Linked DNA regions of Mus musculus: all the other regions are reported to be linked to region 3. Evidence: microRNA targets listed by miRTarBase, many of them from high-throughput screens and not tested one by one. Region 3 holds a microRNA gene; each other region holds the end of a gene's coding sequence.
The links. Region 3 holds the annotated microRNA mmu-miR-125b-2-3p (ACAAGUCAGGUUCUUGGGACCU, at 2,262-2,283, opposite strand). A microRNA usually pairs through its seed, bases 2 to 8, with sites in the 3' UTR of a target mRNA and lowers its output. Matches are read on the target gene's strand: a 7mer-m8 pairs with bases 2 to 8, a 7mer-A1 pairs with bases 2 to 7 and ends in A, and an 8mer does both.

Region 1: miRTarBase lists Dlgap4 as a target of mmu-miR-125b-2-3p. Seed matches in the 3' UTR shown: 7mer-A1 at 2,768-2,774.
Region 2: the mRNA of Cercam is a reported target of mmu-miR-125b-2-3p. Seed matches in the 3' UTR shown: 7mer-A1 at 879-885.

The regions. Positions count from the first base shown.
Region 1 is chr2:156,762,603-156,765,856 of GRCm38, reverse strand. Dlgap4 (DLG associated protein 4) reads right to left here. Exons shown (of 13, transcript NM_146128.6): 13 at 1,494-3,172. The coding sequence ends at 2,954. Among named protein-coding and RNA genes, the nearest start is that of Myl9, 11 kb to the left of the region's middle.
Region 2 is chr2:29,881,591-29,884,844 of GRCm38, forward strand. It overlaps Cercam (cerebral endothelial cell adhesion molecule), which reads left to right. Exons shown (of 12, transcript NM_207298.2): 12 at 106-1,250. The coding sequence ends at 358. Among named protein-coding and RNA genes, the nearest start is that of Odf2, 6.8 kb to the right of the region's middle.
Region 3 is chr16:77,645,347-77,648,600 of GRCm38, reverse strand. Mir125b-2 (microRNA 125b-2) reads right to left here and starts at 2,328; the gene lies at 2,258-2,328.

The sequences.
Region 1 (3,254 bases), not on the chromosome of region 3:
GCTTTAAATCTAGCCAGGGAGGAGTGGGGTGTGGAAGCACCTGCTTGCCATGCCAACATTCGGGAGGCAGGCTCACATTACAGGTCGAGACTGGGCTACGTAATACATCTCATAAAACAAAACCAAGAAACCTTCTGTAAGCTGCTCGGGCACTTTAAAATGATCACTGTCACAAAGAAGAACACAAGGAAGCCTGGGCACCCGTTGTAGTCTTCAGACTAGAAACTTGGTCTAAAAGTCACGAGTGCCCCTAACCAGATGTAACGGACCAGGGGAAGTCATGGGGAACAAGGCTTGAGCTACTACCTGTAGGATGTTGGGTATTTTAGGCTCCAAATGTCTGGATAAAGGAGTGTTGCCTGGAACATTTGTTTTTTTGAGGGTGTTGTGGCCAGGCAGAAACCGTCCTTGTTCTTAGGAGGTGCAGGATAGATTTGGGAAGCGTCCCTTTAGCATGGCACTAGGCTATCTAGGTGTAGAGACCCACGTTCCACACAAGACGCCCATCCTTTTGGCTTGTAATTCCAAGAACCTTCCCAGGCCAGATCAAGACTCTCCCATGCCAAGTTCCTCTCCTTCCAAGTCCCTGAGGCCCATGAGGGTAGTTAGGCCTCTATCTGACCTCCATTCCTCATGTCTGGCTTGCCCTCGCCAGCATTCACTTATACCTTTGAATGGCCGGTTAAGTGCTAGATGCAGAAACAATCTTAATCTGACAAAACAGGAAGCCACTTGCCCTTCAAGTGGGTGAAGGACAGCACTGTTACACAGGCCCGGGATGGCTGCTGCTGCTCAGCCTCCCTGACAGAGGCATGCTGGGATCCAAGCACAGGGCTCTATTTACAGCTGGGATTTCATAAGGGGTCCAGCTGGGGCCAAACTCCTGAAAAGCTGGGTCCCTGGGCCTGGGGTCACCCGTATCCTGACTGGGATGAGCCAGGGGAGGCATACATATGTGGTTCCAGGGCCTGGCCCAAGACCTTTTAAATACAACGTTCTGACTCCACTGGGTGGCATCTTCCTTGCTTCCTGGCTGTCATTCAGTAGCAGGCCTCTTCCACCTGGGTTGGACTCTCTGCAGCTCCTCCCCTTCTTCCACAGACTTACGGCCCTGTCACTGAGACTAATCCACACCACACTGGCTTCCCCCATGCAGCTCTCTCACAGCAGGTCATATTCCCTAAGGCACTGGATCCCTAGGCTGGTGAGGGGGCAGTTGCTGGGGGTCATGGGGCCCTGCCTGCCATGTACAGAGGCCAGGCCTTTGAATGAACGATCTGCTCTCTTTCTTCTGAGATGGTCCCTATGAAGTATGCTGTTCTGATGCCTGGTGGACTGAATGCCACATAGATGCTTCCTCGATTTACTGCCCAGGCTCACAGACCAGGGAGCCTTCCGGGAGGTGGGGTCTAGCTGGGTTTCCTGGGATCGTCTGCTGCCATCCTCCTTACCCAGTCCAGCCCACCACAGTGCAATAACACCATGAGGCCTCGTTACACGTTACCTCATTTATTCTCACAACATGCCTGTGAGGTAGGGAGGGGCAGGGACTGTCCCCATTTTACAGAGGAGGAAGTTGAGGCACACAGAGGTCAAGTGACTTGCCCAAGGTCACAGAGGGGGCGGCCAAGCTGGAACAGGCCCCCAGAGCAGGCCTTTGCTTCACCTGGGGGAAAACCCTGCAGCATGCGCCAGACAAGAGAATGTCCCCAATGCCCTCAAATCATATGCACAGTATAGAACAGCCCGATACGCCAAACTGCTGGGTCCGGCCCCCTCCAGGCGGCCTGACCCAGCCCTGCCCTCCCGTCCTGCTCTGCGGGCCCAGGCCTTTGCAGCTCAGGGCTCAGAACACCTTGGGGATGGGAGTGGGGGACAGGAGAGGATTGGGATGAAAAATCACAACAGAATGAAAAACTCAAGAGGCTGGGCTGACGGGCTAGGGGGACAACCAAAAACGGGACTGCTTACACACAAGGTATATTTTTACACACACTTGTACACACACCTAGATATAGTACATGTAAAAATATATGCTATTCACACACCCGCCTCCTGCAGGGACCCCGAGAGCCGGCGGCGCTGGTGGGCTTTGGGTGAGCAGATGGGCGTTAATTAAATATACACTCTAAGGTCTATGTGCATATGTACACAAACGTACAGAAGCCGCCACCTGCCCCTGGGGGACTGGATAAAGGTGCGGCCAAGGACAGCCAACCCCCTGGAAGCCACTTGGGAGTCCTACATTTTCTTTTGCTGAAGAGGAGGCTGGAGCATGGTAGCCGTGGTTTCCCCACGTGCCCCAAGGACCAGTACTTTCCTATCTGCTCAGAGGCCAGGCCAGTCCAGCCCGACACTGCCTAGGCTGGCGTGTGGCAGCGGAGGGAGGGCGGACCAGCTGTGTGTGAGCACTTAGTGGGGAGGTTGGGGTGGGTGGGTGCTGCCCTTCTCTCTGTCCTCTGGGTCCTCAGCCCCAAAGGGTGTGAACCAGAAAGCCACAATGGTGACCCCTGTGAGTTCTGCAGGAAAACAGAAAAGCTGTGGGCTGTAGGGGAGGGAGGGACATGGCAGGGGCCCAAGGTTGCCTTGGACTGTTGTCGTCGTCTTGTAAACAAGCTAGTTCTCGGCAGACAGAGCAAGTAAAAAGACCGCAATCTGGAGGCTGGGCCGCGGCTGCCCAAGTCGTCATCTGGTCCGCCATGGCAGCCCAAGGGGAAAAGGTTCTAGAGTGTGGTTTTTAATTTTTTTTAATTTTTTTTTTTTTGAGTCAAGTCTTCATAACCTAAAGCTCGGAGGGACCCAGAAAAGCCACATTGTGAGCCCTTGTGTGTGTCAATTGGAAAGTTGGCTCAGGGTCTCTAGAGATAATAACCATACTGAAGGGTGAGAAACGCTGTTCCATTTGCATTGAGTTTTTAATGATTTCAAATTGAGTGCTTTCTCCTTCACGGCCTTAGAGCCTGGTCTGGGCCTCGGGGACATAAATCTCGATGCTGTCCGCACTCTCTGTGGCCGAGTTCTGCCGCACAGACGCTGCTCGCTTGGCGGCCAGGAGTCTCTTTCTGGCCTCCTGACGCTGCTTGTCCCCCGCGTCTGAGGCCTTGTCGCGGCTCACTGCCGCCTTGGATTTGGCTGGCTTCTTCGGGACTGGAGGGGGTGGCTTCTTCTCTTCCTTTATTGAGACAGTGAGGAGGGAACAGAAATAAACTAAAGGTGCCACGTTTTGTGCGGCACTGCCCCTTCCTTACGCAGGC
Region 2 (3,254 bases), not on the chromosome of region 3:
CTCAAGTAGCTATGAGGACTAGCAGGGAGGTCAGAGGTACTGCAGACAGTCAAGGCCCCAGCTCTGGGTTGGAGTCCACTTAAGAGTTCTTCTCTCACTTCACAGTGACCAGTACAAAGCATACTTCTGGCCTCGGGACCTCCAAGCCTTCTCAGCTAGGCCTCTGCTTGCCTCCCCCACCCACTATTCGGGAGACGCCGAGTGGCTCAGTGACACAGAGACATCCTCCCCCTGGGACGATGACAGTGGTCGCCTCATTAGCCAGACTGGCTCTCAAAAGGCCCTTCGTGGCCCCCACCTGCACCTGACTGGCAGCAGTGGACACAGCCTCCATCCTCACCACAGGGATGAACTGTAGGTGAAGCTGGACCTAGAAGAGGACCAGTCCACGGCCCGGGCTTCCCTTCTCAGCTCTCTCCTCCTCCCTCCTCCTGCTTCTCTCCCATCCCCAACCCACCTCTTGTCTACTTCTCTCTGATTTCTCTAGCTTTGTCTCTGTCTTGTCTCTGTATCTGCCTCTCTACCTGTCTGTCTCTCTCCATAGCTGTTGACATCTCTACATCTGATTTTCCTTTTCTTTCTCTTGCCCCCTTGACCGCTAGCCCATGAGGTCCAAGTGGGAATCCAAATGAGCGATGAGAGGGGAGAGGAAGAGGTGACAGCCAGCAGAAATCTGACTGTTATTTTGGGCTCAGCTAGTTTTCTGTCCTCTGGACTCATTCCAAGGGAGGAGAAGCACTCAGAGACAGAGTCCACTCCTGAAGGTCTCAGAGTGAAGACACTAAGACCCCCAAGACTTTTTTTTTTTTTTTTTTTTTGTGACAGGGTTTTTCTGTGTAGCCCTGGCTGTCCTGGAACTCACTTTGTACACCAGGCTGGACTTGAACTCAGAAATCCGCCTGCCTCTGCCTCCCAAGTGCTGGGATTAAAGGCGTGCACCACCACTGCCTGGCTACCCCAAGACTCTTGACTCTGCTTGCAAATTTAGAGCCAGTGGGCTCAGGGACAGGGAGGCCTCAGCCTTTGGGGTTTCAAGCTGGCTGGAGCCCAGAGTCCTGCCCTCTGAGGACCCAACTACTTTGCCTCCATCTACCTCCGCCTTGGTGATTCCCTCCCTGCCTCACATCTGGGGCCCATTAGCACCCTCTTTCCTGGTTGGTGGAAAGTGCAAGAAGATGGGAGGCATACCTGGTGCTCAACACGCAGTAGGCCTTCAATAAAAGCCACTTGCATTAGCATTTTATACTTCACTTAACAGCTGAGCCTCTTTGTGTCTCTCCAGGCCAGGGCAGGACACCCTCTGAGCTAGGGAGGGAGGGAGGGCAGAAGAGGAGGGGTCAGGCTATCAGGCAGTTGCTTCCTGGATGGACAGCCATGTTCCTTTGGATGGATGGAAGGTATAGCTCCTGAGAAGAATGAGCGCCTCTGTTCTGTGCTCATCTCCATCCAGCCTGGGGTCACACTTACACTCCTGCCCTTTGCATTTCTGCTGTGTCTGCAATCCTAGTTCTGTAAGAAGCCAAGTTCTGCCTCTGGAGAGCCAGGGTTCTGCTCTGACCCTAAAGAATAAGCACCAGCAGAAGTCACCAAGTGACAGAGCATTAACCTGGTGGGTCAGGGTGCTCTTTGTGACTTCTGGACCCACAGTGGAGAAGAGAGTATGGGAAATTTAAACTCAATCCTGTAGGCATACATTTTTTTGCAACCTGCTTTTAATAAGGGTCCAACCTCTCCTTTAGCCCACCACCCAGCAGAGGCAGTGGAAGAGAAAAGTCATTAGGATATGGAGGAAGCAGACCTGTTTACCAGTCCTTTGAGGGTGAGCTTGATCTTTGGGTGCAGTTCAGTCCCGTAGCAAACTCCAAATGCGACTCAGCAGCTGCAGACCAGTCCTCTAGGCAGGCACGAACCAGCAGCTACAGTCCAGCCTTTTCAGCAGGCAGACACCAGGCACGAACCAGCAGTTGTAGTTCAATCCTACAGAAACCACCAGGCTTGACAGTGGGCCCCAAGGGAGGGAGACTGCAGAAGTGGCAAGCAGCTGCAGGAACCTCATGCAGTTCTTGGGCGAGCTTCTCACAATGGCAGCATTACCAGAGGTTGAGCTCAACAAGCTATGTAAGTCGAACCAATACGTGCATGTCGTTAAGTGAAGAATAGTGAGGTGAGCAAACCGAACCACTGCTCCCCCTCCCATTGTCTGTGGGGTGGATATTTATGGTTCTTCATCAAGAGTCCTTTCGTGTGTCTGCTCCAGCAAAACACCCTTTCACCTGTGCGGCCCAGCAAAACATATGACATAACTACTAACTTCACAAAGAAACTAGAAGCGTCCACTCTACAATCTGGATGCTGTGGCCACTCCATCTGAGGTGGCAGAGATGTTAGAGGCTACTCCACATGCTTTTGCCCTTCTGTGTGGGAAAGGGGGACTTCTCTCCACTAGTCACAGAGGACCAGGTTCTGGGCCTAGCAGCACTTAGATGGCTGGAAGAGTGAGGGGAAGGGATTCCCTGTCTTGGTTGGGGCTGACTTAGCACCTGCTAGTGCAAACAGGTTATCTCCCTTAGAGGAGCTCATTTCCTACCTGTCTTCCATTCCACAGCAGCCCTTGAACATGAGTTACGTTAGCGAGCACCCAGACCTGGCAGAGTCCGCATAGTACCTCCTGAGGTTGCGCTGCCAGTGCACTGCAGCCCAGGAGAGAGAGGTTCAGGACCTGCCATAGCTCTGAGGACTCTGGGCCAGAGGTGAGGCTGTGATGTTTTGTTCTTCTGAGGGTGAAAATCTTCCTCTCTGGATGTCTGTAATCTAGAGCAGGTAACATTTTCATTCATCCTGTAAAATTTGATTAGCCTCTCGGGGACTGAGCAGGGGTGGGGGTGGGTTCTAAGGATTCAGCAGTAAACGAAACTGATGAAAATGGGCTGTCAGGTGGACCTGGAACCCCTGTCCAGCACACACAAGGTGTCTCCCATTACCAGTACTAAGGACAACAGATACCACAAAACAATGAGAGCCTGATGGTGGGGGCTGGAGAGATGCCTCAGCAGCTAAGAGCACTGTCTGCTCCTCTAGAGGACCTGGGTTCAATTCCCAGCACCCACACGATGGCTCACACTTATCTTTAACTCCAGATCCAGGGGATCCAACTTCTTCCTCTGACCTTGTACCTGCACTAATATGTGTGTGCATGTGTGTGTGTGTGTGTGCACACATGCACGCCCAAGTATACACACACACACACACACACA
Region 3 (3,254 bases):
AGAGAGAGAGAGAGAGAGAGAGAGAGAGAGAGAGAGAGAGAGAGAAACAAGCAGGGGTTAGTCTATGAACTTGGAACAGTGACTTGCTACTTCAAAATTAAAATGTACAAATAAGCTGGTGTCAGAGGAGAGGTGATCCCTCATTTCCAATACACTGAGCAAGCTCACATGGGCAGCAGACAGCTCTTAATGTATGCGTCTGGCTCAGGCTGCTCTCCCAATCCAGAAGCCATCAGATTGCTAATATCACTGCGTTTTGTATGCAAACCACATCATCTTCTCACTCTTTGTTGTTTATCTTTTTGTTTATTTTAAGCTTAGAATGATCTGGTTTTCCAAGTCACATTATGAATCCACAGAACTGCATTATCTGGTGACAGCTGAGAGAGAAATGCAGAGATAGTCACATCCATTCACACACAACATAAAGTAGCTTATGAAACAAAGTCTGATGTACACACACACACACACACACACACACAGACACACACACACACACACACACACCTTTATAGCATAAGACTTGTTTGTGAGTAGTATTCTCACACAACACATGCTTTGCACAGAGAATGTTCAAAATTGCAAGATACATGATGTATATCATATATGATATATGTGATGTTCAGGAGAAGTGAAATTTATTTTAGCATTTTTTTCTCCTATAAAATCTAAGTTAATATATACTACTGTTCATTATCATAGCATAAACAGAAAACCTTTACATTTAAATTTTTTGCTATCATAGCTGACTACTATTATTCCCTAGTTCATTGTGGATTTCAACTGATGAAGTAACACTTGCATATCGTTTATGATTATCATAAAACAGGTGTTAGTAAACACACTCCTCTCTGATCATCTGTGTAAAGCTTCTGTTAAATAGAATCAAGCTTGTGTGATGCTCACAGATACACATACATAGAGTTCTTTGTGATTAAAGAAAAGTTCTGACTTTATATTTACTCCTTTCACATGGAGTCGTAAAACATGCTTATATACACACTTAGATTTTAAAGCTTCTAGATAAATGACAGGGGTGAGGCCAGGAAAGAATCTAAAAAGATTCTTTGTGTTGATACGACATCAACACAAACTTCAACGTAGTCTGTGTTTATGATACTATTATATTATTTTTAGGAAACAATAAAGATGCTTTGCATTTTTTTGATATTTCAAGTAATGAGCAATAGTAACAACCTTAACAAAAACAGAACAAAGACTCCACATGATATCCTAAAATAGATTCATAGGTTTATTTACTAATGGAGAAAACAATTTACGGTGAAACATCAGAGTTAAAACACCAAAGTCACTCTTGCCTGTGTTATGAAAGCCACCTTGTTTTAAGCCTAAATTTCTGCAATGTTACTGTATATTTGGAATAGATTTATTGATTATAGATCAAAAAAAACACATGTTTAATGTATCATTGACTAATAAGTCACACAGGCTATGGATGGAATATTTACTTCTGGTAATGAAAATTCTGATCAAAGCCTGCATCTCAGACGTGTTTTACATGTGAACAAGAGCAGCTGAGTTCATAGGCATTCTCTAATGCTTTATAACACACACAAAGTGAAATGTAGAAATTCAAAAGCACTGTATTTTCCCTAAATATATACTTTGTGAATCTCAGAATAAGGCAGTTGTTCATACATATATACTGTTATGTGTGGGCAAAAGACTAAGGAAACACTGGCTAAAATTACCATGTATAAAACAATATTCTCTCATATTAGTATCAACAAGAATAAGATCAATAAAGAAAACTGTAAATCGTTTCTTTTTCAGGCCTCGAGTATGATTAGAATCTCATTTGACGTAGTCTAAGCCACAGTTCTATGGAAGCATGCATAATTTATTGAAATAACTAATGTATATAATTCTACGCATACAAAAACTTATGAATATAAACAACTCTTACAATGAATCTTCTTCATCTTAAAACACACCCAAAGCGATGTTTATTTTTTTAAAAAGAACTTGTGTTTTAATTCTACTTCTTGTACATATCTCTTACAACACTTTTATACGATAATCACAGTAAATACAAACGCTATTTCTATTCTACTGTGCCATATCTTTAGAGTACCGATTCTGAAGATTGTATTTTGGGGGTGTTGTCATGGTGAAACCCTTGCTGATTAGAAAGAAAACCATTGTTCTTTGCGCCTATGCAGAATCTATGCCTGTTCTTTTGTTCTGGTGGTTTATGCCGAGAATCAATAAGGTCCCAAGCTGCTGGTATCCCTCCGCCTAGGTCCCAAGAACCTGACTTGTGATGTTACTAAAATACCTCACAAGTTAGGGTCTCAGGGACTAGGCAAAGTCTCGTGTGATGCAGGAGAATTCTTCTTCCAGGTAAACGGACAGCTTGGGAATTAGAGTTGGGTTCATTTATTTTTAATCTTCTAAATACTAATTGAAACACACAGACAGAAACATAAGTAACACATGAAAGTCAAAGATGAGCTGAATAATCAGGACGGCCACCTATAGATCAGAACTTACAGTAATGTGGGGCATGAAAAACAAAGCAGACAATGGACATTTAAGAATCACCCCATTCTATCCAAAGAAGGAGACAAAAATGGGTTAAAATATGCTCCTTGCAGATTTTTACAGCAACACCCACTTCTATTACACTAAAAAAGGATTATATGCCAGTTAATGGGGCCCTAATTGATATTTTGCTTCTATTGAAGTTTTATATATCACAACTGTTACTGTGGGCCCAGGATATACAACACTTCAAACTCTCATTTAAATTATTACAGATAAGATTTAAACAAAAACTTTGAATATGTCATAATTTAATACCTATTAATGTTGATTTTTCTCTTTAAATATGCAAACTATTCAGACAGCAAATATTTTCATGCACACTTCATAGTTATTTGAACAAGACCACCTAACAAGCTTTAACTTAAAATCCTGGCAACATAGTAAGAAAACAAAAAAAGATCCTTTACTTTGAATAATTACATTATATAGTTCAATACTTTTGAAAATACACAGTCTCAATCCTGACTATTCATCAAATTCTCTCCCATCTTTTCGCCTTGTTGTGAAAGAGCAGAATCTGGACTTTAGGAATGATCCAAGGTTTAGTAGCACAGAATGCAGGGCAAAACAATCACACTTAGCACAGCATAAAACTCCTGGCCACAGAAGTGGAATCTGGTTCTTCAGAAGTGGTTGATCTTAAAAGGGAAAAGCAGGGGGGTTAGAAAAGGAGAGAGGGGGAGAGA